Linked DNA regions of Oryzias latipes. The protein of the gene in region 5 interacts with the protein of the main gene of each other region in a pairwise test. Links are inferred from orthologs where the notes say so. Each region holds a gene or a part of one and is shown on either strand. Other genes may lie near its edges. The genes, in order: arrdc1, ankrd44, pdlim7, wipf1, wwp2 and fbxl18.

What was found.
Region 1: the proteins of wwp2 (region 5) and arrdc1 interact in binary tests that used the Homo sapiens proteins (3 or more experiments, as listed by UniProt). The link is inferred for Oryzias latipes from reciprocal best matches to the Homo sapiens genes WWP2 and ARRDC1.
Region 2: the proteins of wwp2 (region 5) and ankrd44 interact in binary tests that used the Homo sapiens proteins (3 or more experiments, as listed by UniProt). The two-hybrid records come from large-scale screens. The link is inferred for Oryzias latipes from reciprocal best matches to the Homo sapiens genes WWP2 and ANKRD44.
Region 3: the proteins of wwp2 (region 5) and pdlim7 interact in binary tests that used the Homo sapiens proteins (3 or more experiments, as listed by UniProt). The link is inferred for Oryzias latipes from reciprocal best matches to the Homo sapiens genes WWP2 and PDLIM7.
Region 4: the proteins of wwp2 (region 5) and wipf1 interact in binary tests that used the Homo sapiens proteins (3 or more experiments, as listed by UniProt). The two-hybrid records come from large-scale screens. The link is inferred for Oryzias latipes from reciprocal best matches to the Homo sapiens genes WWP2 and WIPF1.
Region 6: the proteins of wwp2 (region 5) and fbxl18 interact in a two-hybrid assay, tested with the Homo sapiens proteins (3 studies listed by BioGRID and IntAct). The link is inferred for Oryzias latipes from reciprocal best matches to the Homo sapiens genes WWP2 and FBXL18.

Annotation. Positions count from the first base shown.
Region 1 is NC_019870.2:26,761,508-26,766,841, reverse strand, and holds the start of arrdc1 (arrestin domain-containing protein 1), read left to right. Parts: upstream 1-1,720; 5' UTR 1,721-2,256; coding exon 2,257-2,374; intron 2,375-5,334. UniProt on the Homo sapiens protein: Functions as an adapter recruiting ubiquitin-protein ligases to their specific substrates. Through an ubiquitination-dependent mechanism plays for instance a role in the incorporation of SLC11A2 into extracellular vesicles.
Region 2 is NC_019879.2:183,060-188,476, forward strand, and holds the start of ankrd44 (serine/threonine-protein phosphatase 6 regulatory ankyrin repeat subunit B), read left to right. Parts: upstream 1-1,983; 5' UTR 1,984-2,456; coding exon 2,457-2,483; intron 2,484-5,417. Other genes in the region: sf3b1 (splicing factor 3B subunit 1), read right to left, coding at 51-152, 278-450, 1,494-1,521. UniProt on the Homo sapiens protein: Putative regulatory subunit of protein phosphatase 6 (PP6) that may be involved in the recognition of phosphoprotein substrates.
Region 3 is NC_019868.2:19,511,479-19,515,533, forward strand, and holds the end of pdlim7 (PDZ and LIM domain protein 7), read right to left. Parts: intron 2,560-4,055; coding exon 2,444-2,559; intron 2,164-2,443; coding exon 2,077-2,163; 3' UTR 1,112-2,076; downstream 1-1,111. UniProt on the Homo sapiens protein: May function as a scaffold on which the coordinated assembly of proteins can occur. May play a role as an adapter that, via its PDZ domain, localizes LIM-binding proteins to actin filaments of both skeletal muscle and nonmuscle tissues.
Region 4 is NC_019873.2:4,905,131-4,910,554, forward strand, and holds the start of wipf1 (WAS/WASL-interacting protein family member 1), read left to right. Parts: upstream 1-2,042; 5' UTR 2,043-2,164; intron 2,165-2,192; exon of another isoform or gene 2,193-2,331; intron 2,332-5,424. UniProt on the Homo sapiens protein: Plays a role in the reorganization of the actin cytoskeleton. Contributes with NCK1 and GRB2 in the recruitment and activation of WASL.
Region 5 is NC_019864.2:27,508,474-27,513,127, forward strand, and holds part of wwp2 (NEDD4-like E3 ubiquitin-protein ligase WWP2), read left to right. Parts: intron 1-1,384; coding exon 1,385-1,456; intron 1,457-2,329; coding exon 2,330-2,418; intron 2,419-3,202; exon of another isoform or gene 3,203-3,297; intron 3,298-4,402; coding exon 4,403-4,562; intron 4,563-4,654. UniProt on the Homo sapiens protein: E3 ubiquitin-protein ligase which accepts ubiquitin from an E2 ubiquitin-conjugating enzyme in the form of a thioester and then directly transfers the ubiquitin to targeted substrates.
Region 6 is NC_019859.2:22,450,330-22,455,604, reverse strand, and holds the start of fbxl18 (F-box/LRR-repeat protein 18), read left to right. Parts: upstream 1-2,153; 5' UTR 2,154-3,067; coding exon 3,068-3,121; intron 3,122-3,873; coding exon 3,874-4,071; intron 4,072-5,275. UniProt on the Homo sapiens protein: Substrate-recognition component of the SCF (SKP1-CUL1-F-box protein)-type E3 ubiquitin ligase complex.

The DNA.
Region 1 (5,334 bases), on a different chromosome or scaffold from region 5:
TTCAAGATATTTACTGTTTGACTAAACTCCAAAACAAATGAATTTTTTATCGAATCCCAGAACTTGGAGCTGACGTGGATCCACCTCAGGACTGAAAGACAAACCTGACATCACATCCTGTTTCAAGAATCTGTCAGAGCACCCTCACATGTCTTTGGCCTTTTTTTCATTCATTCATTCATCTTCTTCCGTTTGTGCCTTTTGGGGTCACGGGCCTGCTGGAGCCTATCCCAGCCACTCATGGGCGAAGGCAGGGAACACCCTGGACAGGTCGCCAGTCCATCGCAGGGTGTCTTTGCCCCCCCCCCCCCCCCCCCCCCAAAAAAAAAAAATAAGCAACAACAACAACAAAAATGAAGGGGCTCTTAAGCCCTGATCAGATGTTACCACATGCAAGATTACCATGGATACAGCAGTCTCTTGGCAACAGTCCCGTTTGTCTGTCGTCATGGAAATGCCGGTCCTTTAGTTTAGAGGAAAAAAACAGCTAAAAAAGATAAATCTGATAGGATGGTGGAAAGTAAAAATTAAAAGGAGAAAAGTCTGTTCCTGCGTATTTGGCATCACGTTTAGATTTGGACGTTTTGGATATCGAGAGGAGGAAACAAGCATCTCTGTGCACCTGCAGCTCCAGCTGCTGATGTGAGACGACAAGTACAGTTTCAGCCAGGAAGCACCGCTAAGACAACTTAGCCCTCAGAAACGGAAAGAACATTTGAGTTCCTGCAAACTTTAGAAAGATGAGAAAACTGTTGTTTTTCTGTGGCAAAAAAAGAAAGAATTGTATTAAACATTTACAATAAAAATCCCATTGATTGAAACCTTTACCTTTGATCAGTCTGAGGCCAACGCTGTCCGTGTTTGTGAGGATGAGTCCAACATGAATCCAATTTAAAGGCTCACTCTGAGGAAAACGGTGTTTTTAACATGTTATTGTGGCATTTTTCTGATGATGAGGACATTTATGGTAAGTGGAGTGCCCTCATATACCACTTTCCTACCCTCTCAGAAAGCCAGAAGCACTTAACAGTCACACTCGCCCACACACACACACACACACACACACACACACACACACACACACACACACACACACACACACCCACACACTGCTGCTGAACACTGGCATCAACCTATGACCACCAGCAGCAATGTGAGGTTCAGTGTCTTGCTCAAAGACTCTTCGGCACATGGGTGGGAACCGAACCTGCAGTGTTCCGATCAGAGGTCGACCGCTGTACCTCTGCTCCACAGCCGCTCCAACCATTTAAAGAAAAATAAAATAAAAACTACATTTCTGAGTATTTCTTTATTCAAGGAGGGGAAGGGTAAGAGTGCTATTAAAAAACAACAAATGAGGAACATTTGTTTTTCTCAAAATACTCCAGAGATTATGAAATGTTTTTGGTTATTTCCTATAGTCTTGCCTTGGTATTTTGTTTTATTTTATTAACATTTTATTACTAAATATATAAATATAAAAGTTATTTGCCAACATGATTCTTGAGGTTTTAACTAAAGTAACTTATTTTCTCTTTTTAAAGGATCATATTACAAACATTTTATGAATAAAGTAGCCGGCCTAACACCAAAACTGAACTTTTTTGGTTTAAAATTAACATTTGTAAATTAACATTTGTAAATTAACATTTGTAAATTAACATTTGTAATATGTTTTAGATAAAAGCAGGAGCACCTACTAATGCAGATATATGTTTATTTTATGTTTTGTCTTTTTTCTACATTAAGAAACTCCATCATTTGCATGTCCTGACAGGAACTGAGTTGCTTTTAGCTCCTTCTCAGTTTCATTTAGTTATTTATTTTCAGGTTAAACTTTGATCAAACAGGAAGGCCTGCTGTGGAGTAAGGCGCCTGTAGTGAGGACACACCTGTCTGCATTCAGCGCTTCTACGTCCAACACCTAAAAAGCTGAAAGGTGCAGAACCCACCTTCCCGGCTGACGTCACAATCCAAGACCCATAGAACCAACCAAGTCCCACTCGAGAACGGAGATTAGAGTCGGATGACGTCACAGTATCAAAAAGCACCTGTGGCAGGTATGACCGTGAGGGGATTCCGGTGAAGTTTGTGGGTCTGTTTCTGAGGCAGAATCGACTCATTTGTCCGTTAACGTTTGTCCCTGAGCTCGCGGCTGGGATTCGGAGGAGGTCACGGTGACGTCACAGTCCCCGTGGAGGGCGGAGAGCAGCTCGCGGCAGCAGGTGAGCGCGCGGCAGAGCGGAGAGCAGAGCCATGGGGAAGCTGCAGGAGTTTGACATCTTCTACACCAACAACAAGGTGGTCTACGGTCCGGGGGAGTCCGTCAGCGGGGTCGTGAGGATCCGGACCAGCAGCGCGCTGCATTACAAAGGTACGGGGGAGGGGGGGGGGGGGGGTGCTGGGCTGCGCGCGCTTCCGCTAGCGGCGCCTGTGCATCACTCAGTCGGTGAGGTGAAACTTTTGCCTCGCGACGGTGCAGGGATGGGAGCGCGCGGCTGAAAAGCTGCTGTTGTAAAGTTTCTGCTAAACGAGCGAGCCTGCTGGGACGGGCTGTTCTTTAGCGCGGATGAATCTCCCAAAAATAACAACAAGCGATCAGGTGGTGGTGGTGTGTGTATGTGTGTGTGTGTGTGTGTGTGTGGGGGGGGGGGGGGGTAAGGACACCGGAACTTCTGAATTCTGGGTTCAAGGGGAAACTCGGTTCATGTAGTGTAAAAGAACGAGTCCGTGCGCACTTCCTACAGGCGGAGGGTCTGTCTGTCTGTCTGATAGTTTTTTGTTGGTTTATGATCGGCTCTCCTCTTTGTGCTCTTCTGTGTTGGGCTGCGTGATGCTCTTTAAAATACCAGCTCCACATTGTAACTTTTTGGCATTCAGAGACAAGCCCATATGACCAGCACTCCACCACCATGCCTGACAGATGGGAGGCAGAGATTTCCCCAAAAATTGTTTGAGGACAGAGACGATGTGACTCAAGCTGAACCTGAAGCTCAGTCTGCAGGTGTCTTTTAACCCCCCATCCTAGGAGGTTACCTAACTGCTTTTTACTCAGTTTGATGCATTTGCCTGATTCTGACACAATAATTATTTGAAATCAAAACCCGGAAATATAGAACAGACAGAGTGAGCTTTCTAAGACATCGGATTCCTTTTTAAGATCTTTCTCCCAAACCTGTAGTCATAAGGAGGATAGCAGGTTGGAGGAAACAGAGGGTCCATTGTGTGAGGTGACCCTGGTCAGACTGAGGCGCCCCTCAGTGGCAGGCAGGTACAAAGCCCCTGCCACCAACGGGGACTGCAGGGACGGAAATCCAATGATGGAGCTTTTCTTCATGGCGGAAAGTCCCGAACTGCAGAGGGATCGTCTGTTACGACCTGATCTGAGGCCCACCACTCCGTTCACTGCAGGAGGAGTTGATCTAAAACTGATGCATTTGATGTGCTGTGGCAACATGGAAAAGACCCCCAAAAGAATGATTTACTTCAGTTATAGCAGCTAAAGCTGCTTGATTTGAACAAAAGATTGAAGAGAATCTTACTCAAGCCGCACATGGATACCAAAGATCACTGTTGTCGGCTAATCCAGTGGTCCCTGGGCTGTGGACCAGTACCGGTCCGAGGGACAGTTGGTAAAAGCACAACCTACCCCCCCCCCCCCCTCATTTTATTTATAATCTGATTCTGAAGGAAGTTTTATTTTGGAACACTACTGGGTTCTCTCCACCACATCCAACTCGTTCTTGAGTTGGATGTTCTGGATTTTGACTCGGTCACGTGTACAAAACCCTAAAGCGGCTGCCGCTAAATTGAAACTCCAAGCTAGCAAAATAACCAAAAAACGTATTTGGAAAGTTCCAGTGGGGAAACAGAGGAAGAGCCTTCAACTTCAAAATAAAAATAAATCTGCATTTAAGACAGAAACTAGGAGTCTTTTCTCAGAAAAGGATTTATTGTTATTTTTTTTCAATAATGCAGAATACTCATCAACCAGCTGTTTAATGTTATGGATATCATAGGTCTGATTCGCATATTTGGTTTGGCAAAGACTTTACATCAGATTCTGTTCCTGACACAACCCTCTGTCTTTATCCGGGCTTGGGACCAGCACAATGGGACCCTGGCTTGGGCCCCGTCGTGGCTACATTTCATTTGGAAAAACAAAACCCAAACATTTATTTCAAATAATATTTTAAATAAAGTCCTTATTAACTATCTAAATCCAAGGTTTTACTCCCATCATAGTGTATTCCAATGATTTTTATGCTTTCTGAAAATAAACCTGGTAACTAAACAGGAAGTTTTTTTTAATACTTTTGTGATTTTTTATTTATGCCAACAAATAGAAATATCAATCTGCTGGGATTTGAGAAGACAGAAAATAGACAAACACCAGATGATCTGTGTAAGACAAAACCGCCAAGTCAGTAACTGCAGCAGTGGGAGAACAGAGAGCAGATAAGCATCAAATCGCTGCAACATCTGTTTAAAACAAACTGCAACCATGACCCTGCAGTGGAGCAGACGGAGGAACCAGTTCATCCTCTAATCTAGACCACAATGCACTGTGTTGGAACGATGCGCCATTTGAAAAAAGTGTATGGAAGTACGTTTTTTATTTATCCGTCTCTGCTAAAGGCTCATATTTAGGGTTTTACTTTGGCAAATTGGTGACATTTGAGGGGAAAGGTAATGAGGTTGTGTCTGAACTGCAATAAAATCCAGGGCACTAGATAGTCCCGCACTAGTCTTTTTGGGGTTAGGTAGTGGGGAGGGGGTTCAAACACAGTTAAGAAGACGAGTTAAAGTTCCTCCAGTGTTGTGGGAAAGTGTTGTTGCTTTTTATTGAATTAAAAATTAATTTCTTTTGGTATCAATTCCTTCAAAGAATAAATTCCCCATTATGGCTCACCCTGGTCTGCAGGTGTGAGTTTGGTGGAAAGGTTGGTGTCAATTATCTTCTCAGTTCTGTAAATGCATTGGTGTGTGTTGCTGCTTTTTGTTAATTAAAAGCAACAATGGTTGTGTACGTGCTGAATGAAGCTGAGGCGTGTCTGTAGTTTAGTCGTTTCTTTCGGGTCTCCTCGTGTCTCCTCGTGCTCGGGTCACGCCCACTTCCTGTCAGAGAAGGATTCATCCAGAGGAAATATGCAAACAGCATGAAGCTGCAGCACAGCGTGAAGCTCTTTACTGCTTTCTGTACCCCGAATGTGACTTTAGACCGTAATGGCCACCTGCCTGTTTTGGTTTAAATGTTGCTCACAGTGAGTCTGCTGGTTGTGTATCTAGATGAGCATTACTCCAAATAATTCTGGTTTCCACAGCACTGCGTAT
Region 2 (5,417 bases), on a different chromosome or scaffold from region 5:
CAAAGTCCTGGAAAGAAGGTGCACCTCCTGTCATGTTAAGGAACACATACATGTTCATCTGACTGGGGAATGGAGTTGAGCATTGCCACTGGTGCATGGTAGCCTGGCTTCTTCTGTCCCAACAAACTTGTCGATGTGTCATCTTCATCATCCTAAAGACAGAAAGAGAAACAAGAGTCTAGTCAAATCTCGCCAAAGCGGCAAGACTCTCCTAGCTCACACAAGACAAGCACGGTGGGAGCAGACTGAAAACTGCAGGTAAAACATCTTTACTTACATCTTCCTGCTCATTGGCTGCAATGGAAGTGACATATCCCACAAAACGACCGTCGCTGCCTCCATAGATCTCCTGGTCGTAAAAGCCAGTGGAGTCCAGGCCCACTCCCTGACCTGCATCCTCTTTCAGGGAGGCCTTCATCCCCTGGATCTCCAGGATCTGCGCCTCAATATCTAAGCACCCAAGTAAAAATACATGTGGGAATGAATATACATTACATTTTTCAACAATATTTTATTGTTAAAACTGGATTTGTGGCCATGTGGGTTTTTCGTAAAAATAAAAAACCACAACAAGTTATGGAAAGCTTCAATGTCAACAATTAATGACACTTTTTTTAGTCAACTTCATTAGTTACAAATAGCAAAGCTGTAGAAAAATGATCTTAAGTCGCATAATAAACGGGGGGGGGGGACTTTTGAGTTTTTTGATTGACTTTTTAATTGAAATCGGCTAAATTTGTAAATGTAATTTCATGCAACAAGCGCGCTCCTGAACAGTTTTCTCGCTTAATGATGAATCAATCCTGAACAGCAGCTCCAGCCTGGTCTTTTGTTTACACACCAAAAGCTGAGCCTGATCGCTCCAGCACGCGCCCATTGCTGATCACACGTTAAACGAAAGATTGGGCTTTTGTTACAAACGCACGTTGCTGACATTCATCCCGCGGTTCTTCGTGAACTAAACGGCCAGGTTTGCACCCAAAACACCGCAGACTGGTTTCGATAGGATGATCGGTTCTTTGCCACAGAAGAACCACAAAGATTCACACAAAACCGTTTTGCACTGCAAAATCGTTCATTTGCACTGCAAAAACATTTTGTGCAAATAGCACGGCGAAGTTGGTCACGCTGCGTGTTCGCGTTAAATATGCTAATCTACAGGACAAAGAAAACCAAACAACTGCAGATAACAAACTAACAAATAAAATACCAATATACACAGAACTCAACGGCTTAGCGCAGTAACGTGAACTATTTCACGGTAGCAAAGGTGCTGTGTGAGGCTTCAGCTCGCTTGCTAGCAACCGGCGCCATTATGTAAAATGTCCGCGTTGCGTCGTCACAGGCCGCCTCGTTTTTTATGTTTTTGTCGGCCACAAAGCACAACTTCAAAAAACATTTGACACCACAAAACGCATACATTATTTAAAAAAGCAAAAGAGCTGAAGAGAGGGCCACACACAACGTATTCACAGGTTTTCGTGATATTTTACCTTCGTGTGTTTTGGCGATCTTCGCCATCTTGACGGTGGTTGTTCGAGACTGACACCGGAAGTGCGTCACCTCTTCTTCCGCCTCTTTTAGCCAGCACGACAGAGAAACGTTATTATTATTATTATTATTATTATTATTATTATTATTATTATTATTATATTAAGTCAGCTTTATTTTTAAATGTACTGAATTTTACAAGATCTACAGCACAGATGAAATTTCTTTCCTCTCAACCCACTGTGCAAACAGCCTATAAAAAACAGCAACAATAATAATAAGTATTATAATTATCATTATTCACCTTGTTGAATAATGATTATAAGTATGTATTTTTCTCTATTATTGTATATAATTTTTTAACTTAACTTTATTCATGTTTACGCTCACTGCCCCCTCAGCGGCTCATCACGCGTGGCCGCTAGGGGCAGCCGCGAGCGGCGCCCCGCGCGTGGCCGCTAGGGGCAGCAGCGAGCGGCGCCCCGCGCGTGGCCGCTAGGGGCGGCAGCGAGCGGCAACCCGCGCGGCCGGTGATGCTGCTGAGGAAGCTCCACTTCTGAATCTGACAGGCGGACGCTGCCACTTCCTGTGCGCTCTGCCTTCAGCCCGCTGTCTCCCCAGATCCCTTCACTGCACCCAGGGCGGACGGAGGCTTCCGCGTGCTCCGTAAAGCTCCCAGAGCCGCGCGGCATCTCCGACCAGCGGCAGCCGTAGATGCGGGTTGTTTGCGGCGGCGGCTCAGACCTGTCCCGCCTCCCTTTGACTCTGCGCGGCCGCCGCGTTCTAGCGGCGCCGCGGATAGCGTCCGTGGAGCAGGGCTGATGGCCGTGGAGCCCGGCACGGCCTTCCTCACAACAGCAAGCACCGGTTACCCACGAGCCTCGTAGACGCCGCTGCAGCCCCGGTCCAGGCGGACGCTTGCCGCGCAGCATCGCTCCGTGCAGGTCGCAGCGGCTGACCCAGAGATGGCGGTCCTCAAGCTGGCCGATCAGGTAGGGTGCGCTAGCCACCGTTAGCTTAGCCTCCGAGGCGCCGCTCAGCATCCCGCCCGGGTCAAAGCGGAGCTCGGTTCCGCCTCTGAGGGGACGGACCGCGGCGCAGACGGAGAAGAAGAACTTCCGCAGAAAAAAGTTCAGCTCGGAAGGTTTTCACCGCTCATTTCAAGCGGAACCTTTTCTTCATTGATTCATCTGATAAAAACGGGTCTGTGGGCTAGAACTAAACCAGAACCAGAACCAGAACTGCGGGGGAAACAGGCAGAAGCAGAAATAGAGGAAAACCTCCAGTGTCTCACTTCAGTGTTTGTGTCATCATCACTACTGATAACCGCAGATGTTACTGACAGCAGGTCTGAAATGTGAGGAATGCTGCAGGTGACATCCTGGCTCCTCCCCTCACCTGCATCCAGGTGTTGGATCAAAGACGGCAGCTGTCCTCAGAAAAGCTCAGTGGCACATGAAGGTGCTCTGCTGGGGTACCTGATGACGTCACAGTTCTTCAGGAACAGCTGCCGGTAGGCCCCTCAAAGAGTGTGCTGTCACACCGTCTTCCCTGGGGGGTCCTCACACTACAAGAGTTTGGAGAGGAGGGTGCAGCTCTCTGATGCCACCAAGGGCCCCCACCTTCAAAGTTCATTACTGTTTTATTGCATTGGATTTACATTTGTGTCCCCTGTCAGTGGGGCCAACACGGCCAGGCTCCTATGCAGTTTCTCACATGGTCCATGTATGTTGTACTTTCACACACGGTCCATGTATGTTGTACTTTAACACACATGGTCCATGTATGTTGTACTTTCACACACGGTCCATGTATGTTGTACTTTCACACACGGTCCATGTATGTTGTACTTTAACACACATGGTCCATGTATGTTGTACTTTCACACACGGTCCATGTATGTTGTACTTTCATACACATGGTCCATGTATGTTGTACTTTCACACACGGTCCATGTATGTTGTACTTTCATACACATGGTCCATGTATGTTGTACTTTCACACACGGTCCATGTATGTTGTACTTTCACACACGGTCCATGTATGTTGTACTTTAACACACATGGTCCATGTATGTTGTACTTTAACACACATGGTCCATGTATGTTGTACTTTAACACACATGGTCCATGTATGTTGTACTTTCACACACGGTCCATGTATGTTGTACTTTCATACACATGGTCCATGTATGTTGTACTTTCACACACGGTCCATGTATGTTGTACTTTCACACACGGTCCATGTATGTTGTACTTTAACACACATGGTCCATGTATGTTGTACTTTCACACACGGTCCATGTATGTTGTACTTTCATACACATGGTCCATGTATGTTGTACTTTCACACACGATCCATGTATGTTGTACTTTAACACACATGGTCCATGTATGTTGTACTTTCACACACGGTCCATGTATGTTGTACTTTCACACACGGTCCATGTATGTTGTACTTTAACACACATGGTCCATGTATGTTGTACTTTCACACACGGTCCATGTATGTTGTACTTTCATACACATGGTCCATGTATGTTGTACTTTCACACACGGTCCATGTATGTTGTACTTTCATACACGTGGTCCATGTATGTTGTACTTTCACACACGGTCGATGTATGTTGTACTTTAACACACATGGTCCACGTATGTTGTACTTTCATACACATGGTCCATGTATGTTGTACTTTCACACATGGTCCATGTATGTTGTAGTTTTACACACGTACCATGTATGTTGTACTTTCACACACGGTCCATGTATGTTGTACTTTCATACACATGGTCCATGTATGTTGTAGTTTTACACACGGTCCATGTATGTTGTACTTTCACACACGGTCCATGTATGTTGTACTTTAACACACATGGTCCATGTATGTTGTACTTTCATACACATGGTCCATGTATGTTGTACTTTCACACATGGTCCATGTATTTTGTACTTTAACACACATGGTCCATGTATGTTGTACTTTCACACATGGTCCATGTATTTTGTACTTTCACACATGGTCCATGTATGTTGTACTTTAACACACATGGTCCATGTATGTTGTACTTTCATACACATGGTCCATGTATGTTGTACTTTAACACACATGGTCCATGTATGTTGTACTTTAACACACATGGTCCATGTATGTTGTACTTTCACACACGGTCCATGTATGTTGTACTTTCATACACGTGGTCCATGTATGTTGTACTTTCACACACGGTCGATGTATGTTGTACTTTAACACACATGGTCCACGTATGTTGTACTTTCATACACATGGTCCATGTATGTTGTACTTTCACACATGGTCCATGTATGTTGTAGTTTTACACACGGTCCATGTATGTTGTACTTTCACACACGGTCCATGTATTTTGTACTTTCATACACATGGTCCATGTATGTTGTACTTTCACACACAGTCCATGTATGTTGTAGTTTTACACACGGTCCATGTATGTTGTACTTTCACACACGGTCCATGTATTTTGTACTTTAACACACATGGTCCATGTATGTTGTACTTTCATACACATGGTCCATGTATGTTGTACTTTCACACACGGTCCATGTATTTTGGACTTTCACACATGGTCCATGTATTTTGTACTTTAACACACACGGTCCATGTATGTTGTACTTTAACACACATGGTCCATGTATGTTGTACTTTCACACACGCTCCATGTATGTTGTACTTTAACACACATGGTCCATGTATGTTGTACTTTCATACACATGGTCCATGTATGTTGTACTTTAACACACATGGTCCATGTATGTTGTACTTTAACACACATGGTCCATGTATGTTGTACTTTAACACACATGGTCCATGTATGTTGTACTTTAACACACATGGTCCATGTATGTTGTACTTTCATACACATGGTCCATGTATGTTGTACTTTCACACACGG
Region 3 (4,055 bases), on a different chromosome or scaffold from region 5:
CAGAAGTTACCTTCAAACTGTTAAAAAAAAAAAGGAAAAGAAATTCTGGTTAAAAGGATAAAATGCAACCAACTAAACAGGAAACAAAACCTACTACCTCAAAAAAAGGAACAAAAGTGAAAAATGTAATTCTTCCGATCGGTTCTTCTAACACTCTTTGATGCCAAACGTGATTTTTGTTAAAGTCGATATTAAATTCTATAGAAATAGCTTTATTACAGGAAGTTTAGGATATGCAAGGCGGAAAGTTATAAAGTGTTTTTAATTAGACTCACCAAAAAAAATGCAGATTCTGTATTTAGTCACAGGTTTAGGGGCAGTTTATTCATCATTTCCTTACACACATTTATCAAACTCCTATAATGTAAGCTGTTGAACTTTGACCTTTCGGGATAGTGAAGCTTTCATGAAAGCACCTTCTGCTCAGAAACCTGAGCTCCAGCAACAGTCTATTAAACTTACAGAACACCGCATTCTGTCCTTAAGACCTCCATTTATATCAAATTTCATTTTAAGATGCTTTAATTATTTTGATTTTATAAGAACTTCTGTATTTTATATTCATGTTTAAAGTTCAGATGTTATATTCAACAGTCTCTAAATATAGAATAAAAGTGGGAAAATGAAAAGGAAAATATTTCCAAACATTTAGAAGCTGTTAGGGTGAATATTCTGGAAAGGGAGTTGGTAGATTTGTAAAGCTTTAAGTTTATAAAAATATTCTTTTTTTTACTAGTTTTTGATTTGTTGGTTTAAACCAAGTCTGTAAATTTACCAGTGGTTGTATAACACTATTGTAACCACAAAAACAAAGTGTAGTTTAAACTAGAAACAAACTTAACGTTTTGTAATTTACTTGTTTTTTTTTAGCTAAACATCTATTTTTTTTTTTTTTTCCCCCCTAAGCTGTTTCTTTTATTTTTTTTTAACTGGAATGGAAGATTTAAAGTCTTAATGAATAATTAGTGGGTAGTCGTAAAAAAAAAAAGGACAATGTGTACGTTGGACTCATGATTCATTTAAATGTCCATAAAAACTTAAAAAATGACTAACAAAAAAATGTTTAAATGTGGTGGAAAAACTGCAAAAATATTTTCCTACACGAGAAGTATTTTATCGAACAAACCCAGTTTATTAAACCGTGTGAAAGGTTAAAGGAGTCGTGCAAAGTGAAGAGAAGGAAACAAAACTAAATGAAAATTGTGAAGTTCATGATCTCTGCCAAACAGTGAAGAGTCTAAAATCTTCTTTTAGGAAATAACTGAACATTAATGACATGCAGTTAGATTAGATAGATTCAAATGTGGAACATTATTACATTTTGAATTACATATTAAAAAAAACAGGGAATTATTTGTATACAAGTCAAAACACAAATAACATGTTTTTGTTTTTAAATAATTGAGTTTCTTCAGTTTGTGTGGCATCTAAAAGGGTTTTATTTGAAACTTTCAACATAAAAGCTACAGAAAATTAAAGCATAGAAATAAATTCCATCATGAAACTAGTGTTTCATGTGATCTTTGACCTTTATTATCAGAACAAGAGCATGAGGGGGAGGAGCAAAGAGGAAAAAAAAGAGAAAATGTGAGTCTTTGTTTAACATTCCAATGATAATATTCTGCTAAACCGGGTTCAGTAGCATTACAGGCGCTGTGGGAGGAGCTTTTCTGCTCTCAGTACAGAAGTGTATTGATGAAATCTGAGCATTATATATATATATATATATATATATATATATATATATATATATATATATATATATATATATATATATATATATATATATATATATCAAGAGCTGACGATCTGAAATAATTTCTCGATTAGTTCCAGTAAAGCAGCAAAATGTTAATTACAAAGTGACATCTGGAGAGTTTTAGCAGCCCTAGAAGGTGACAGCATGTGAAGTCAGAATGAAGCCTCTGAAAATAAAGTCTGCAGGATATAAAAAAAAAAACAGACTGAGCTGAAGTGGCTGTGTGGTTGGCAATGCTGATCGTGTCAGAGGGCAAAACGGGGTAAAGAGGAGGTGGAGGCAGAAGTTGTTCTTTCTGCAGATGCAGCTGGCTCCTCTCACACCGGAGCAAAAGCGTGGCTTTTGCACAGCGGCTTATCCTTCTTCGAGTAGAACGTCTTACCCTCAAGGTTGATTTGGCAGAGCTTTAAAGATGAAAGAAGACAGACAGACGGAGTCAGATGGAGCAACCGAGGTGGAGGAGATATCAAACTGCACCAGTGCCAATGGGAATTTGCACAGTTTGGTGCGGGCCAGAGCGGACCCATGCGTCTCCTTTGACTGTTTTCACGCTCAGATAGGAAAAACCAAACTGAAGAAAGAGCTCCAGGTTCTAAGATGAGCTCAGATGGGTCAGGTTCTGCTGAGATTGGAGAAAAATTGGGGCTAAAAACAAAAAAAAAAAAGGGGTCCAATCAGACTTACAGCACAGACGAAGCACGTGTCGTGCCAGCTGAAGCCTAAGGCCTCCAGGAAACGATCGCCGGCATCAATCTTGAAGTCGCAGCCGTGGCATTTGGTGCCAAACATCTTCTCGTAGTCTGGAGAGGAAACAGAGGAAACTCAGATTCCAGGGAGACTTGACGTCTGTAGAACCAGGCCAAATTATGTCAACAGAACTTTACTTCTCGCCGAGGTTACGGCGCAAAGGATCTCCAAGAGCTCTCGCCTTTCATGTTTTTTTAAAAAGCTGGAGGTTAGCGCCCTTAAAGATGAGAAGACGCTACACACAAGCACTTAAGGGATTGAAGGGAAGCAATAACGGCGGATGAGATGCTGCGGATGCCAAATGCTGGCTCCGCTCCTCATTGGCCATTTGATAGTGTGATATTTGGAGCAACAGTGGTGCCTTCACAGCATGCGGGGATTAGGAGGAGGGGAGGGGGAAATTGCTCCCAATACTTGACTGGATTTGCCAGTCTCTTTCATCACGAGGACTCTGGGGAAAGTGTCAGGTTATAACGCAGCTTCTCAAGAGGCAGCGAGAGCGGCACAATTCCTGCAAGATGCTGAGGCAGCAGAATGTTTATCAGAGCTGAAGGCATTATTCAGAAAATGAGGATTGGGGTTTCTGCCTCTGCCTCTGATAAAGCAGCAAAACCCGTCAGGGGCTGAGCGTTGAGTAAGAAACACATTGCCCCGCTAAATCATTTAGAGCATAATAGAGGAGCGTGCACCTTTCATAACTGCCTACAGAGGGATGCATGGAGTAAACTGCAGCTAAATACATTACAGCAGATGAAAACATCACACTCGGTGATTGACTGTGCTGTGCAGCGCTCCGATTCACCAGACAGAAAGCCTCGGCAGCGCTGCAGCCGGGCTTCACACAGCTGTCACAAAGAGCCTGATAAAAGTCTTTATTTTGGTTTGGAAAACTTCCCATCCTCTCAGCTGCAGAGTGCTGTTGCATCAAACATTTAAGACAGACGGCCTGTGATGCTTTGTACTTAGATTTACAAGAAACATGCAGAAATCATGGGGGGGGGGGGCTCTCACACGGCCTGAGAGGTCTCCCATTGTGCGCTGGAACTAATCAATGTGCACGCTGGGATTTGGAGCCACTTTAATTTCTGCCAGTTTCCTTTTCTACTGCTCAAGTATCCCTGCCACAGACGGAATGGAACTGTCCATTCAAACTCGGGTTTCTGGGGAGGAAAGTGATTACTCCACTCATTTCTAACTGCGCTTCCACAAACCACATTATTCTGACTCGTCTGCACGTGATCCCCCCACCCCCCACCGACAGGAATAAGTCTGTCAGGGAAATTAAATAAATAAATAAAAATAACAGTGAGACAAGAACTCCCTGATCAGCAGTAAAGTAGAAAAAGCCCCCAGCAGGAGCCCCCCGGGGTGTCCAAACTGGCTATAGGGAGTCAAGTTTAGGAGTAAAATGCAGCATAAGGGGCCAGAAATCACAAGTTGAAGTGTGGAGCTAAACTGGAGCTAAAAAAAAAGAAAGTAACGGAGACATCCAGGAGTGACGCTGAGCAGCAGCAGCAGCACTCACAAACTGAAGAAGTTGCAGAGTTAC
Region 4 (5,424 bases), on a different chromosome or scaffold from region 5:
CTGGTCTGAGCATTTCTACTGGGATTTTCACCCACAACCATCTCTAGGGTTTACAGAGAATGGTTAGGAAAATAGAAAATATCCAGTTAGCGGCAGTTCTGTGCTCAGAAATGCCTTCATAATGCCAGAGGTAAGAGAAACTGTACAGCTGGATAACTCCAATATTCCTCACCATTATTGTTGCTCCGGTTATGTTAAGTTGGGATTGTGAGGGGCTGTGAACTAGCGGGAAAGCATGTAAACCGGTGGATGATGGGAAGTGGGGACAGGGTTGCTCCACGCCAACAGTCCTGCCCACAACTCAGAGATGAATTTCTGATGGACTCCTGCCGCTCTGCAGAAACAACGCCCTAGAAAATGATACAGTTTTTAGTTAGTTTTTAATTGTGGCTAAAAAAAAGGCATAATTATAATTAAATTAAGTTAAACAACTGGAAACACTTTGAAAATAGACCAGAAGAGGATCGGAGTGGGACGTTAAACATCATGGTGACATGTCATGGCTACTTCTGACCAGCAGAGGGAGCCCTCTTCCTGTAGATCTGGTTTAGGAAGTCCGAATAAGGGCGGGCGGGAGGTGGGCAGTCTGGTAAAAAGAAATGCAGCTTCGAGTTGACTAAAAAATAAGCAGTCTGTTATTTACTCCCCCCCCCCCCCCCGTTTGATTGTTTCTTGCTTTTGTTTTTTATGCGTAAACCGGCTCCACTGCGGTTCGTATTCAGACCATATTTGGAGGCAGCTGCGCACAACTGACGGTTCCTGTTTGCAAAAGCTGGAGGTTATTGAGAGCATTCCTGTTTTCATAACATTTCAAAATAATGTTACACAAGTTCTTCACTGGTGTTGACTTGGACAGAAGAATACGAACAAGTGCTTCTTTCTTTTAAAAAAAAAGCTTTCAGAAGACTGAAACAGTTTTTTTCTCTTGGCATGCTGCACATCTGGAAACGTTGCATCCCTGCTGTTGAAACCCGGATAAAGAGACTGCACAGCTGCAAAAGCTGCAACCAGAGCCATGTATGCAGGGGTTGAGTCAAGGCTGGACGTCCACTTCAGACACAGAAACGGCCTTTTTAATAATTCATGCTGACTGTTGTTGTTCTAGCTGCTGCAATGTTCTTTCAGGTTCCACTCTTCAGATCACAGTGGGCTACATTAAACAGATCATTAAACATATATGGATTCATCTAAACATTTATTTTGTTATTCCAAAAAACACAACATGATTTAGTAAATTAACAAAAAAAAAAAAATTAGTAGAAGGAAGAAATGCAGAACAACAGATAATAATCACAAATTCATCAATGTACAGCTTAACTTATATGTATTTATATAATTTTATCTTAAATTAATTTTTAAAATGGTTAATGAATAAAAATGGGTCAAACTAAATACAAAATCTAGCCTATGTGTGTATATATGCATGTACACAACAATTGGAAATTCTGTCAATATATTGTTTAGTTTTTCACTTGATTGTGTTTTGATATATTTTAAAGATGTTGTACATTTTCAGTTTTTAATCTTTCATTTTCTTGGGACGTCCAACATCTGCAGAAGAGGATTAGGTTTCTATGCCCTTTTTTTTCCTTTCTCCATGCCCATCATCCTCTTCCATAAAATTCCATACAAAGTTACCTAAAAGTTTTTGCATCAGCAGAAAAAATTACCACCTTAAGATTTAAGGTGGTATTATTCCTCGGATGTAGTTTTCTCCCACATGGGTTAGCAGCTGAACCGGGAGACCTTCAGCAGTGACCTTCAGTGGACTCCTGTGGTCTCCCTTCTCCTCTCCTCTCCTCTCCTCTCCTCTCCTCTCCTCTCCTCTCCTCTCCTCTCCTCTCCTCTCCTCTCCTCTCCTCTCCTCTCCTCTCCTCCCCTCTCCTCTCCTCTCCTCTCCTCTCCTCTCCTCTCCTCTCCTCTCCTCTCCTCTCCTCTCCTCTCCTCTCCTCTCCTCTCCTCTCCTCTCCTCTCCTCTCCTCTCCTCCCCTCCCCTCTCCTCCCCTCTCCTCTCCTCTCAGGCGAGTTCAACCCGTGGCGTCAGGGCTCTGCTTGGCTCCTCTCTGGGATTGGCTGCTGGCGTTTCCTCCACCCGCATAACCCCGCAGAACCCGCCAGTCTCTGAGAGATCACCGGCAGCGCCGCAGACGGAGATCTTCCACAGGTAGGCTAAGACACGATCCCCTGAAGCTCGGCGTGTGGCTGCGGGCGTGGAGGCGCCGAGCAGCGGCGAGCAGAGACTTCAGTCCAGCCCAGAAGTTTCCAGAGCAACTTAGGGGAAGGTGAAGAGGTCAGGACCTCAGGCAGAGGCCTGGGCAGACTGGGGTGCAGGTCAGGATCTGCAGCAGATCACCTCCGCTGACAGAGAAGTCCTGCAGGAGCAGCATGTCTGAGTGGAGCTGAATGTGAGGACTTTGTGTACCAGAGCTGCTGGACTCCTCTGAGGAGACGGAGCGTTCCTCCTGTTCTGTTTAATGGGCCCCAGGATGTAAATGCTAATTCTGAGCAGAACCAAAGTGCTTTTTCACAGAAGACTGAAAGAACCCGCGTAGAGAAGAACTGTAGAAACCAGGAGAGGCCTGCTCTCATCTCCTCTGGCCCGTCCCACTGATGACAGCATGTGACAGTCACACTCTGCTGTTTTGCTCTCATCTTTTCTCTTTATTGGAACTAATTAGAATCTTTTAACATATTACCAACAAATCCCAAAATATCTTAAATCCACATTTACAACTGAAAGATTCGTTTTTTAGTTTTATTTATTTAAATTATTCTTTTAAAGACCCCCCCTCCCTCCAATGAGGAGTGAGGAGCAGAGGAGAGGAGCTGGTGTTCCACATGGGAAAGGCCGTTGATGAAGCGTTTGGGAGGTGACAGTAAACGGTTTCAAGTGCAGAGAATTTCTCTGGTGATGTTTTTTAAGAGAAAGTGAGATTTTCCGAGTCCCGAAGCTGCAGATAAGACAGGAAGAGCCTCACACTGATCCTCTCTCTTTTTTAAGCATAAATACAGTTTCATATCAAGTAATGCTAAGAGGAAGGACACCTTCAGGTCAAATCAAGGTCACACACCCGAGTGTCTCAGATTAGTTCTGCTCTTCAGGCCTGAGATGTGCTCAGGAACACAGAGGGGGTTTATGCCCCCACCCCCCAGTGTCGGTGCGGACCCTCAGCCATGGAGCTGGTTTATGGATGCGGTTAGAGAGGACATGAAGAGGTTTGCTGTCAAAGAAGAAAATAATCCTTTCAACGTAAACAACATGACAGAGATGATCCATTTTAGCATCTTGACGATGATCTGCTGTTTTCTGATCACAGCTGAGCCGCTTTTTTTTCTTTCTATAACTCTGTAATGTTTAAAAAGCAACAGCAAACAGTGGTGGGAGGCTCATGATTTGGTTAAATTAAGGACAAATAGCATTAGCTGTTAATTAAGTTATGTCTTAAAATGAGCAAAAAAAGAGTTTTGTGTCTTTAAAGTAGTTGTATTTTTATAAATCCCCCAAATCTAAAAGGAACACTAGAATTACATCTTTAAATATATTAACATGTCCTTAAAATAATATGTAAATTATGAGTTAAATGAAGCTGTCAATTTTCCCCAAATTAAGCTGTGTGTCTTAGAAAAAAACCACACAGTTCTTACAAATCATAGTAGTAGTTTTAGGGGCTGACATCTGGACGTAGTTTTTTAAAGTTAACAAAGAAAACATTTGCTCAAAAATACAGTAAAAACATATTTTGTCCGATATATTTCTTAAAATTTGATGTTTTCAAGCTCCAGTAACTCAAGATACTCAAGATTTATTGTCCTAAAACAAATCGTCAATGTCGTTACCAAGGATTTAGTTTTGTCTTCTAACAAGTGTCATTAGATGTCGAATGAACAAACATGACAAAAGTACTCGATGAGAGTTTGTGTTTTGCAGGGATGAAAAGGTGTCAGGCCAGATGTCATAGGACTTTTATGTCTTTGTGAATTACGTCTTGTCTTTCAGTGTTGCCTGAAATACTCGTCTTAAAGTGCTGCTTGTTCTTGCATGGCAGCAACAAACACCGTAGTGGAAGCAGCGGTCCCACTACAGAGCCCTGTGGTACACCATGACTGTTTTTAGAGTGTGGGAAATACAAAGATGACATCAAGCAGCCTAAAGTTGGTTCTGTTAATGTTGGGTTCAGTAAAGCCTGACGTCCTACGAGCTGAAATTATAATTCATCTGAATTTTGACCTAATTTAGTAATTGAAACGAATCCTTCATTTCTTGGGTTATTTAAAAAATAGGGCGAAAAAAGTAAACAGATGGGTCAAAAGTGAATAAACATGTTTTTGAGGATATCTCTGAACATTAGGAAACAAAGACACTTAGAGGCCAAGTTCAGTTTAAAAGCAAAATGAGTTACAGTTACTCAAATGCATCAAAGCAAATGTAATTTAGACAACAACAAACCTCCTCTCTTGATTTTTGTCAAATCAGAAATGAATTGTGCATCAGATAGTGAAATGTTTCATTATTTTAGCAGTACTACCCATGCAGCCCCACCAGACAGTGGCCAGAAACTTAATGCACACATTTGTGGTGCTTCAGCGAAAACGTACACGGTAAAAAACACACAACTGTCATTTAGTTTGATGAGAATACATCTAAAGTTACTACTTTTTGACACTCTGTAGAGTTAGATTTTTTTAATAGTAGAGTTTTAAGATGAAATATATTTTTTTCCTTTTCTACCAGCAAACTCGTTGCTGTTCATTCAACTATTTAAAGTGTCATTCCGATCTTTAAAAGTGTTCCCAGTGGTCTTTCGATGATGACGGTGCCATTTTCAGACACATTTAAAAAACCTGTGTCGTTTTCTATAGGACATAGTTTCTGCAGAGCGGCAGGAGTTCATTAGAAATTCACCTCTGAGTTGGGGCGGGACCTTTTTTTGCTTCTGATTTACAATAAAGAAATGTTCAGAAATTTAATTTTAATCTGGATTTTCTTTATAAATGTCCTCCACCATTGGAAGAATGTCACTTTAGCAGCTTTTTGGTAAACAGATGCAGATGAAAGAAACCAGACTTTCAGGTTTACATTTAATTTCCTTTTCTGACTAACAGATTCTTTCAGCGCTCATTAGAACAGGAAATTATTCACAAGAAGCTTCACACTTTTTTTTATCATTCTGGACTGAGTTAATCAATCGTTTTGCTCTGCATGCAATAATACAAAGAAGTTAGAAAAGGGCTGGTGTTTTTTTTATTTTCTTGTTTGAATACCCACTCCAGTGGAAATGTTACTTTAACGTGTTCGTGTAGCATTATTCTCATGCATTTCTGAGTATTTCTTTATTCAATTTGTTGTGAACCAGGAGCAGAGAAAAGAAATGCCGTTTAAAAATGCTTGTAGTTATGTAATATCTAAAATTAACTGTCCCACAG
Region 5 (4,654 bases):
AAAAACACCCGGAGCAGCTGTGCACACTAACAAAACAGTAGTGCTTTGCTTGTCCGTTTAAAATGTCAACATCCTGAAAAGATGGAAAAGCAGGCCGCTGATGGTAGCTGCTTTGGTGCTGCGGTTTCAGCAGAGGAGAGGCCTGAATTTAGGTCACATTTCTTCTGGCTCTTGGGTACAGCACAGAAACTCTTTTCCAAGTCCTTTTATTTTTAATTTTTTTATATACCTCATATTATTTTAGGAGTCAGCTGCTGTTGTCTGGATCTGCTCTCACTGATTGTTTTGCCTCCTCCAAGCAGAAAAATACTACTTTTTTTTTTGTTATTTGAGGCAAAAGGATCACGTCCTAATTTATTCTTGGATAAATTATAAATTGAACACTTATTATCCTTTAAAAAATTATTAAAACCTGTTAGACTGTCAATGTGAGAGGAGAATAAAAATCAACAGACTCCATTTATTTTATTTTGAAATGAATATGTAGTGAAAATATCTTACTAAAGAAATAGAAGGCACAAACGGACTGCCACTTTATTAGGAACACCTTGCTAGTACCGTGCTGGACCCGCTTTACCTTCAGAACTGCCTTAATCCTTGGTGGCATTGATTCAACAAAGTACTGGACACATTCCTCAGAGAGGTGGGTCCATATTGACATGACAGCATCACGCAGTTGCAGCAGATTTGTCGGCTGCACATCCCATGATGCCGATCTCCTGTTCCATTACGTCCCAAAGGTGTTCTGTTGGGTTGAGATCTGGTGAATGTGGAGGCCATTTGAGTCCAGTGAACGCATCATCATGTCTAAGATGATTCCAGCTTTATGACACCGCGCTGGTACAAGATGGTACACTGTGGTCAGAAAGGGATAGACATGGTCAGCAACAGTACTCTGGTAGACTGTGGCGGTGGCACCAGGCTTTGTTGGTTGTAACCAGTGGTTCTTTGAGTTCCTGTTATCTTTCTATCAGCTGGAACTAGTCTGGCCATTCTCCTCTGATCTCATTTTGGGGCTATTCTCTGTAAACCCCAGAGATGGTTGTGGGTGAAAATCCCAGAAGATCAGCAGTTTCTGAAATCCTCAGACCAGCCCGTCTGGCACCAACAACCATGCAACGTTCAAAGTCACTTCAACCACCTTTCTTCCTGGTTCTGATGCTCTGTTTGAACTATAGCAGACCGTCTTGACCTTGGCTACATGCCTCAGTGAGTGGACTCACTGGTCACTTTCTTACGCACACCTGTCAAACTGTAGCAGCAACTCGATATAAATATACTTATATATATCTATATATATATATAGATATATGGATATATAGATATGTGTGTGTGTGTTTATATGTTTAACTCTTACCCTCTCGTGGTTCTTGTTGCCCTGCAGTCCAACGCCTTGCCAAGCCACGTGAAGATCTCCGTGTCCAGACAGACGCTGTTTGAGGATTCATTTCAGCAGGTCAGACTGAAAACTACTCTAGGATTTGAACATAGACTAAACAAGTGACGTCAAGTTTCATTTTCCTTTCTCTTGTCCGCTTTCAAAATCATACACTGAAGAAAAAAGCAGAGTATGAGATGTTTTTCGCTTAAAAGTGCCAATGGAAATAGTGAATTTGTGTTAAGATTTCATCTTCAAATAAGTTAGGATGTTCTGGCCTTTGAAGATGGGTTAGACACTCATTGTCAGGTATATTGATTGCTCTTGTAACTGGAAATATTTCAAAACATGATTTAAAATAAAGTACCCCCCCCCCCCCAAAAAAAAATCCTGTGCTATTCCTCGTGCTACAACAGTCCTTATTTCTAAACCTTTTTTTTCTAAAAGTAAGATGAGAATTGGACATAAATTCATATACATAAATGTATGTTTACTTTAAAACTTTGGCATTTTTCTCATTATGTGGAGGACATATATTGTCATTTTTGTTGTGCCGGTCATGTTGGATTACGGATGTGAGGGGCTGTAAGCTAGCAGGATAGAGAGTGAACAGAGAACTATCGGATAAGGGTGATAGGAAGGGGGGGCGGGGCACTCTATGCTAACAGTCCCATCCACAACTCAGGCAAATTTCTAATGATATAGATATTTGGTAAGTACCACAGACAGCAGTCACAAAGTGCTCTACAAGAGGAAAAAAAACACAAATTACAGTTAAAATGCATAAAATAATATAATACACTTAAAAATTTGATGTATTTTAAAATCAAATGACTCAAGATCATTCAATATGTTTTGTCTTGAAAAACAATTGTTACTTCTAACAGAAAAAATTACTAGTAATTTACTAGTAACCTTTTTTTTTTTTTTTTTTACACTTCTCTTCATCAGATCATGAATGTGAAGCCGTACGATCTTCGTCGTCGACTCTACATCATCATGAGAGGGGAGGAGGGGCTTGACTATGGCGGCATCGCCAGGTGAGGAGAAATCCAAACGCACCTCCGCCTTAGCCTTCATTCGCATTCTGTCGTCTTATGTGCCTTCTCTGGTTTTCCTGCATCTCATCCACCTGTGGGTATTCTTTACACAAGCCTCCATGTTTGATGTTGGTGAGGGTGGTGTTGGTGTATGTTTAGCTTCTGCCGCTTCCTCCTCCTCCTCCTATAGATTACATATTTAGGTTTAGTGATGGAGAATGAACGCAAAGTTTATGTTATGCTTTGTTTCATTATCAACTCGTGACTTAAACTATTTTTAGCTTTAAAATTTCAGTCTGTTGTCCCAACATGCACTAGGAGTTGTTTTAATGACCCGATGGTGGCAGCGTTTTCTCAATTTGTTGCCGTAGCGACAGGATGCAGCATCACCGGGTTTATCAGGTTCGACACTAAACCCTGTAATCCTCCTGCTATTTGTCTGAGCTCTGATTAAAGTTTGCTAACTTTTGGAGATCCATGATCCTACAGGTTCTTGTGGCAATCATCCGTTAGCTTCCCCTGTGTTTAAACGCCAGAGTTGAAGGCAGAAAAGCGTCTTCTGTGTAAAGATTCATCCTGTAGCCACACAGGGATGTTTTAGCTTGTTGCAGAACCTCCTCCTCCTGGAGCTCCCTTGTCCTCCCACCATCATCTGTTCCTGTCACGCCTCCTGCTGTCCTTCAGGTCTTCCTCTCTGCATATATTTTTTTTTCTGTTTGTGGTGTTCTCATCGTTCTCCCTTTTGGGTGTTTTGTTTTTTTTTTGTTTTTTTGCATTGTGTCTCTGTCTCCGGTGTCACGTCAGTGGTTTTACCCTATGGTAGGTGACATCATGCTGTTCTACCACAGGGTAGAACCACGGACGGGATGTTGGGAGGTGTCTGCGTCCGTCAGCCCGTCCGTCAGTCCATAACACCCAGCGCTCCGCACGCCCCCCGCGGGTGTGGGCGGGGCTTAAGGAGCGCTGCTGCTGCTGCTGGTGGAGGGGCCTTCATTCTGTCTAACATTCATTCCTCCACAGTTTGTCTAATCTGCTCTTCAGATTCTTCTGCTCTGTCGTTCGTTGGAATTGCTTCAAGACAAACTTTAACACATTTGATCTGATTCTGATCATCTCTTGATGTATTTTTAAAGCGTTCACAGCATTATTTTTTTTTAAATGCCGTTTTTAGCCACAAAAAAATAAAAGGTGTAGTTTACTAGAACATAGTTTCTGCAGAGCAATAGTAGTTTATATGAAATTGAATTGTAGGTGGAACTGTTGGTGCAGAGTAAGCTTTCCTCCCTTCCCATCATCCATCTGTTTGCACGCTCTCTCGTTAGCTTACAGTCCTCACAACCCCAACCGAATATTACCGGTGCAACAAAAATGGCGAGCAATATCGGAGCTAGTCTTTGGTTTTGAGCCAGACGTCAGCTTGAATACGAAAAACAAACTCGTTCACAGATCTATTTGTCTGGTGGATGCATCAAGATGGAGCGGAGCAGGGAGCTTGTGGCTTGCCGTAGTAGCTTCTATGTCACCCAAGTTTTTTCCAATGCCTTTTTTTCTTTTTTTCACTATGGTTTGAATAAAGAATTACTCAGAAATGCAGTTTTAAGTCTTAAGTTTTTCTATATGTGCTCTCCATCATGAGAAAAATGGCTCAAGAACATGTTAAAAACACAATCTTTATGAGAGTGGGAAATTCTTTCTTAGGAATTTGGAAAAGTTGTAACACTTTCGTTTATTTTTGTTTTATTTTCCACTAATGTGTAAAGTTCCTTTTTTATTTTTATCCTTCCATGTTTTACAGGTTTCGTTTTTTTGCTGAATCTCGGACTTTCTATTTTTCTTTGTGTTTCTTATATGGTGTTATCTCCAGACATGTGTTGAGCTTTCCATCCCTTCCCTAAATGAAAATGAAAGCTGTTGTCCTGACGTAAATGATCTTCAGGTTTTTGCTCCGCCCTGCAGTAACGCCGTCTGTCCTCTCGCTCTGCAGAGAGTGGTTCTTCCTGCTGTCACACGAAGTCCTGAACCCCATGTACTGTTTGTTTGAATACGCCGGCAAGAACAACTACTGCCTCCAGATCAACCCCGCCTCCTCCATCAACCCCGACCACCTCACCTACTTCCGCTTCATCGGCCGCTTCATCGCCATGGTGAGCTACTTCCATTTGTTTTTGCTTAAATCTTGAAAAATATTTGTTCTTGCAAACCCAGTTAGCAAAACCTACTTTGGTCCTTCAAATCC
Region 6 (5,275 bases), on a different chromosome or scaffold from region 5:
TGTTTTTGTTCGTGTAGGTCATTTCAGATGTCTCTGTTCACCATCTTATTTGCCTCTATGAAGGTTTATTCTCTGGGCTCACTGCTCAACAGACCTGTAGTATTGCTAAATATTTAAATTGTAATCTAAACTTTTTTTTGTACTTTCAGCCTTAAACAATACTCGAGTTTTGTCATGTGTAACACAAGGTGTTCACCTAGTGTTGAAGTGTATGAAGGATTGTGCATGGGGTTGAAGCCTCTAGTGTACACCACAACCCAATAAAGCGCACATTGTCTGAATTTTTGTCTGCCTGGTCTTAACATTCAAATATTTTTATGCGAATAGTATTTATACAGATCACTAAAATGTGTGTGTTGCCCAAGGCTGGAACAATGCTTTTACTTTCCATAGTGATGCTTCCTGGTTAAACATTTGGAGTGAGGGTGGAGATTAGAGATTTCTTCATCGGGGAGAAATTAAGTTTGCAGTGTTAATGACATCTAAACTTGGCACCCATGCTTAATTTTTTTTTTTTTTTTTTCTCGGGTCTTGTAATCATTTCAAACGATTTTGGGGGGGGGGGGGGGGTAAAGCATCACTACTGAAGAGACTACTTGCCAATTCTTGTGGTGTACATATTAATCTTCAAGGGAAACGTTCAGGCTACTTACAATAACCTGAACTTCCAATTTTTACCTTTTTTCTGTGTGATCAAAGTACACTAGATGAGCCATATCTGCTTTTTAATCTACCTTTTTACTATTTTGAAGTAATCTCAAAACATACTGAAGTAAAGATGTACATCAATGTAAATGTATCTAACTCTGGACGATTGCTCACGACTGGCAAATTAAGAGCCATCCATTAACCCTTGTGCTGTTCTCCCTACCATGATAAAGGTGGAAAGATTTCATGTAATCCATGGACACCAGTGAGGTTCACAAATCATTAAAGAAAAAAGGTTCAGCGCACTGTCTAGTGGGTCTAGATAACTCGACTCTCAATGTTAAAGTGCCTAGGATAGCAAATGTGAATGATGCCATAATTAGACATATTTGTGCTTGTACATACAAACCATGACACAATCTATTAAATGTGAGATTTAAGGTTTAAATGCTTGGAAAGGAGTAGGAGGAAGGGAATTTTATTATTCCACCCTTTATTTGCTTTGCTTTACTTAACTATTTTACTACTACTTTTGTGGTTTGTAAATTCTAATTAAAGACACTATTCCAGAAATTATACCACTATCTTTAAGACCCCCCCCCCCCCATGTATAAAAGTATTTTTATCCGATATTTGGCTTACTAAACAGTTAACAAGAAAGCTATCATGTTCAAGCCTAAAACATTGAGATTACAATGTTAGTATTTCAAAATTAGCAAAACATAGTGTAATATATATATATATATATATATATGAAAATAAAAAACGCCCCTCTCACCCTCCGCGGGTGGTTTCTCCTCCAAGCTTGGGTCCTCTACCAGAGGCCTGGGAGCTTGAGGGTCCTGCGCAGTATCTTAGCTGTTCCTAGCACTGCGCTTTTTCTGGACTGAGAGGTCTGAGGTCTTTCCAGATATCTGTTGTAGCCACTCCTCCAGATTGGAGGTTACTGCCCCGAGTGCTCCAACTACCACAGGCACCACTGTCACCTTCACTTTCCATGCTTTCTCCAGTTCTTCTCTGAGTCCCTGGTATTTCCTCAGTTTCTCATGTTCCTTCTTCCTGATGTTCCCATCGCTTGGCACTGCCACATTCTCCACAACGGCTTTCCTCTGTTCTTTATCCACCACTACAATGCCTGGTTGGTTCGCCATTACCATCCTATCAGTCTGGATCTGGAAGTCCCACAGGATCTTTGCCCTCTCATTCTCTGCCACCTTTGGAGGTGTTTCCCATTTTGACCTGGGGGTTTCCAGTTCATATTCTGCACACATGTTCTGTATATTATTCCAGCCACTTGATTGTGGCGCTCTATATATGCTTTACCTGCCAGCATCTTACACCCTGCAGTTATGTGCTGGATTGTTTCAGGTGCCTCTTTGCACAGCCTACACCTTGGGTCTTGTCTGGTGTGGTAGATCTGAGCCTCTACCGCTCTGGTGCTCAGGGTTTGTTCCTGAGCTGCCAGGATGAGCGCTTCAGTGCTGTCCTGTAGGCCAGCCCTTTCTAGCCATTGATATAGATATACATCCGTGGTCTGTATATCTGTATATCTTCCTTTGGCCGTCTTATTATTTCTGTAGGGTATCTGATAACTAGCAGTGCGTAGCTGTTTATTGCCCGGTTCTTGTTCTTGCCCTTGAGCTGGCTTCTCAGGACTTGCCATACTTGTTGGAGGTATTTGGCTGTTGCAAAATTAATGTTATTTCTTACTTGGATGCAAAACTGCTGTTTCAGAATTTATTTTCTTTGCTTTGGGATCTAAAGTAAAAACGGGGGACGTGGTTCTTGGAAGTTTAATCTTTAAATAAAAAAAATCATCAATTTTGGAATTATAAAACATAACTTCTGATTTAATGTCTACATCAAAAAACGTCTAATTGCTTAAAGGCTACTTTTGTACAATACATCGTCTATGTCGAAATAAGTCAAAACTTTATTCAAATCTTTTTATTTGATGTAAGCAGTATGATTAAAAATAAATGATAGTAACAAACGTGTTAAAGTAATTTATTTAACTTTTTTTTATGAACCACAATAGTACATTTTTATTTAACAGATTACCTTTTACTTGTGAAGACGTGTAAATCACACAATCTTCTTACTTAATGCAATTAATCTCTTAAATGATACTTTATATTTATCTTCTTGGTTGATTTTGATTTTCAAGATTGTTGTTGTAAGATGTTTTTTTCACGTTTGAATAAATAAAAAAAGAAAAAGAAAAAAAAGAATCTACCCTCCGGAAGTCTTTCGCCAATGGGCGGAAGTAGGTCCGTCCTCGAAATAGTTCCGACGTGTTTAGCAGCATTTATGTATGTGTATGTATAATACAGGAGCTTGTAGCTCGTATTTGGAGCAAGCTTTATGAACAATTAAAAAATATATAGTGCGTGAATGGGACAATAAAATCCTACATACGATGAGTGGGACTGTGAGTGCAACTATAGAGGACATGAATACACAAATTGTCCAGGTAAGAGGGTTGCTAAAATCGTTGCAACAATGATTTTTTTCTGCCTGGGAGGGACTGCTTACCATTGACTAGTCTAATTCAGTTAAAAAAAAGGAAAGAATAAAGGTAAATAAATATAAATGAAACAAAAAGTGCTTTGTTTTAGTTAAGCTTTAGATATCACTCTTAAATGGGTTAAATTAGTGCTTCTCTTCTTAGAAGAATACACTCAGACTTGGATTACACAGCCCCACACTGTGACACTATGATTTGGGGTAACTGTAATCCATCTATGATAGAGGGAGCGAACAAAACCGCCCTTGCTTCTTTTGACATTTTTTCTAGAACAGGTTTTGGTACAGTACATCTGTTGTACTTTTGTATTTTATAAAATGTATAATTAACAAACCCTTCGGAGTGCACTCATGTGTTGCCACATCTCATAAGCATTGCAAGGGCAGCTTCATCAACACATTATAATGGCTGAATATGATTTTTTTCTCAGACATCCTGCTTACTTTTTATGTATGGAAGAATATTGTTGTGATTTTGTCAGAAATTAAAACATCAAAGTCGAACCACAAAGTGTAAGAGATAAAGCGCAGTCTCTACGGACAAAATATGGAATAAACAGTTGCTTAATTAGAATTTTATGCATAGTATATTGAAAGCCACTGTGTAACTTTTCCATTGAAGATGTTAACATCTTAAATATTCTTTCAGTGTATTACTGATCTAAAGTTGTATTTTGCATGACTTGCTTTTCTTCTTAGGCTGTACGTGTGGAGGACACAATGTCTTCCGCCTCTGCAGGAATGTCCGACTTGTCCGATGAGATCCTGCTGTGCATCCTGCGTCATGTTCCAGTGTGTGACTTGCTGACAAATGTGGCCAACGTCTGCCAAAAGTTACACACACTGTGCCATGACAAGTCCCTACTCACTAAAGTTAGATTGTCCGAGGAATACCTGGTAAAGAAATTATTTATCCTTCAAAAGTAATGGCGCTTTTCTTGTTTGAAAACTTGTTTTTCAGTTAGTTCTTACGTTTTTATACCTGCATGTAACCCTATATACACTACCAGACAAAAGTTTAAGAGCACTCCAAAGTTTTTAGTTTTTATTAAGATGTATTTAGTGTAATGTCCTGTCACATGTCTGAAATGGTGCAAAAAAGCAACTGGAGTTTCTGTAAAACAAAAAACAAACCATGAATCCTGAATACATACCAAAAGGACCGGCACAGTGCTGCAGAGTCATGCTGCTGTAGAAGTCACTTGCCCTAAATCCAGCTAAACATCCCCCTATAATCACACTTCCCCCTACTTGTTTGCCAGTCACACATTGTGGAGCCATCCTTTCACCTGTTTAACAGTGTGATTGTGCGTGATAAACTAAAGAATTCTAACTTTGTTTCCTCAGTTCACAACACCTTCCAGTCATCAGAGGGCCAGTTTCCTGGCCCTTGCAAGCCTTTTTTTTTATTCTGACACATAGTAATAATAATGATAATAATAACGCTCAAAGCGCTTACAATGTGTCCACTATTCATTCACTCCTCATTCATACTTGGTGATGACAGAGGCGTGGCTGCCAGTTCGCACCTACGGCTCCTCTGACCATCACCGGGACATTCATGCACATTCACACACCAGTGGAGCCACACTGGAGGCCAGGTGGGTGAAGTGTCTTGCCCAAGGAGACAACGACAGTTGACTGGAGGGAGCGGGGATCGAACCGCTGCCCCTTCGATCATTGACCACCAATCACCCTTCTTTTTGACACTTGTCCTGTCAACCCGGCAATTTTGAGTTTTCTTCTTACAGTTTAAACTGAGGTTAGCCTCCTACAACCAATGAAGCTAGAAGGATGCTGTCCTTAAAGCTGTTGTCTCGTGGGCTCCATGTCATGTAGCTGTTAACTCTCAGGATTCAGAATCGACTCTTGGTCTGCCCGACTTCCCTCTGTCAGAGTTTCCCAATGTTTCTGAGGGTCTTTAATTTCTTCTATTGTTGGTTGCCTTTTTCTCGTCATTTTTTAAACAACACATGACATTTTAGTCATATAATAGAAGGATTGAAGCCTACTAAGTGACACAATATGTGCCACAGTGTGTTCCAGCATACTTTTACTCTGAAGGATCTGTTTACGGCTTGATCTATTTCAGTTTAACAAA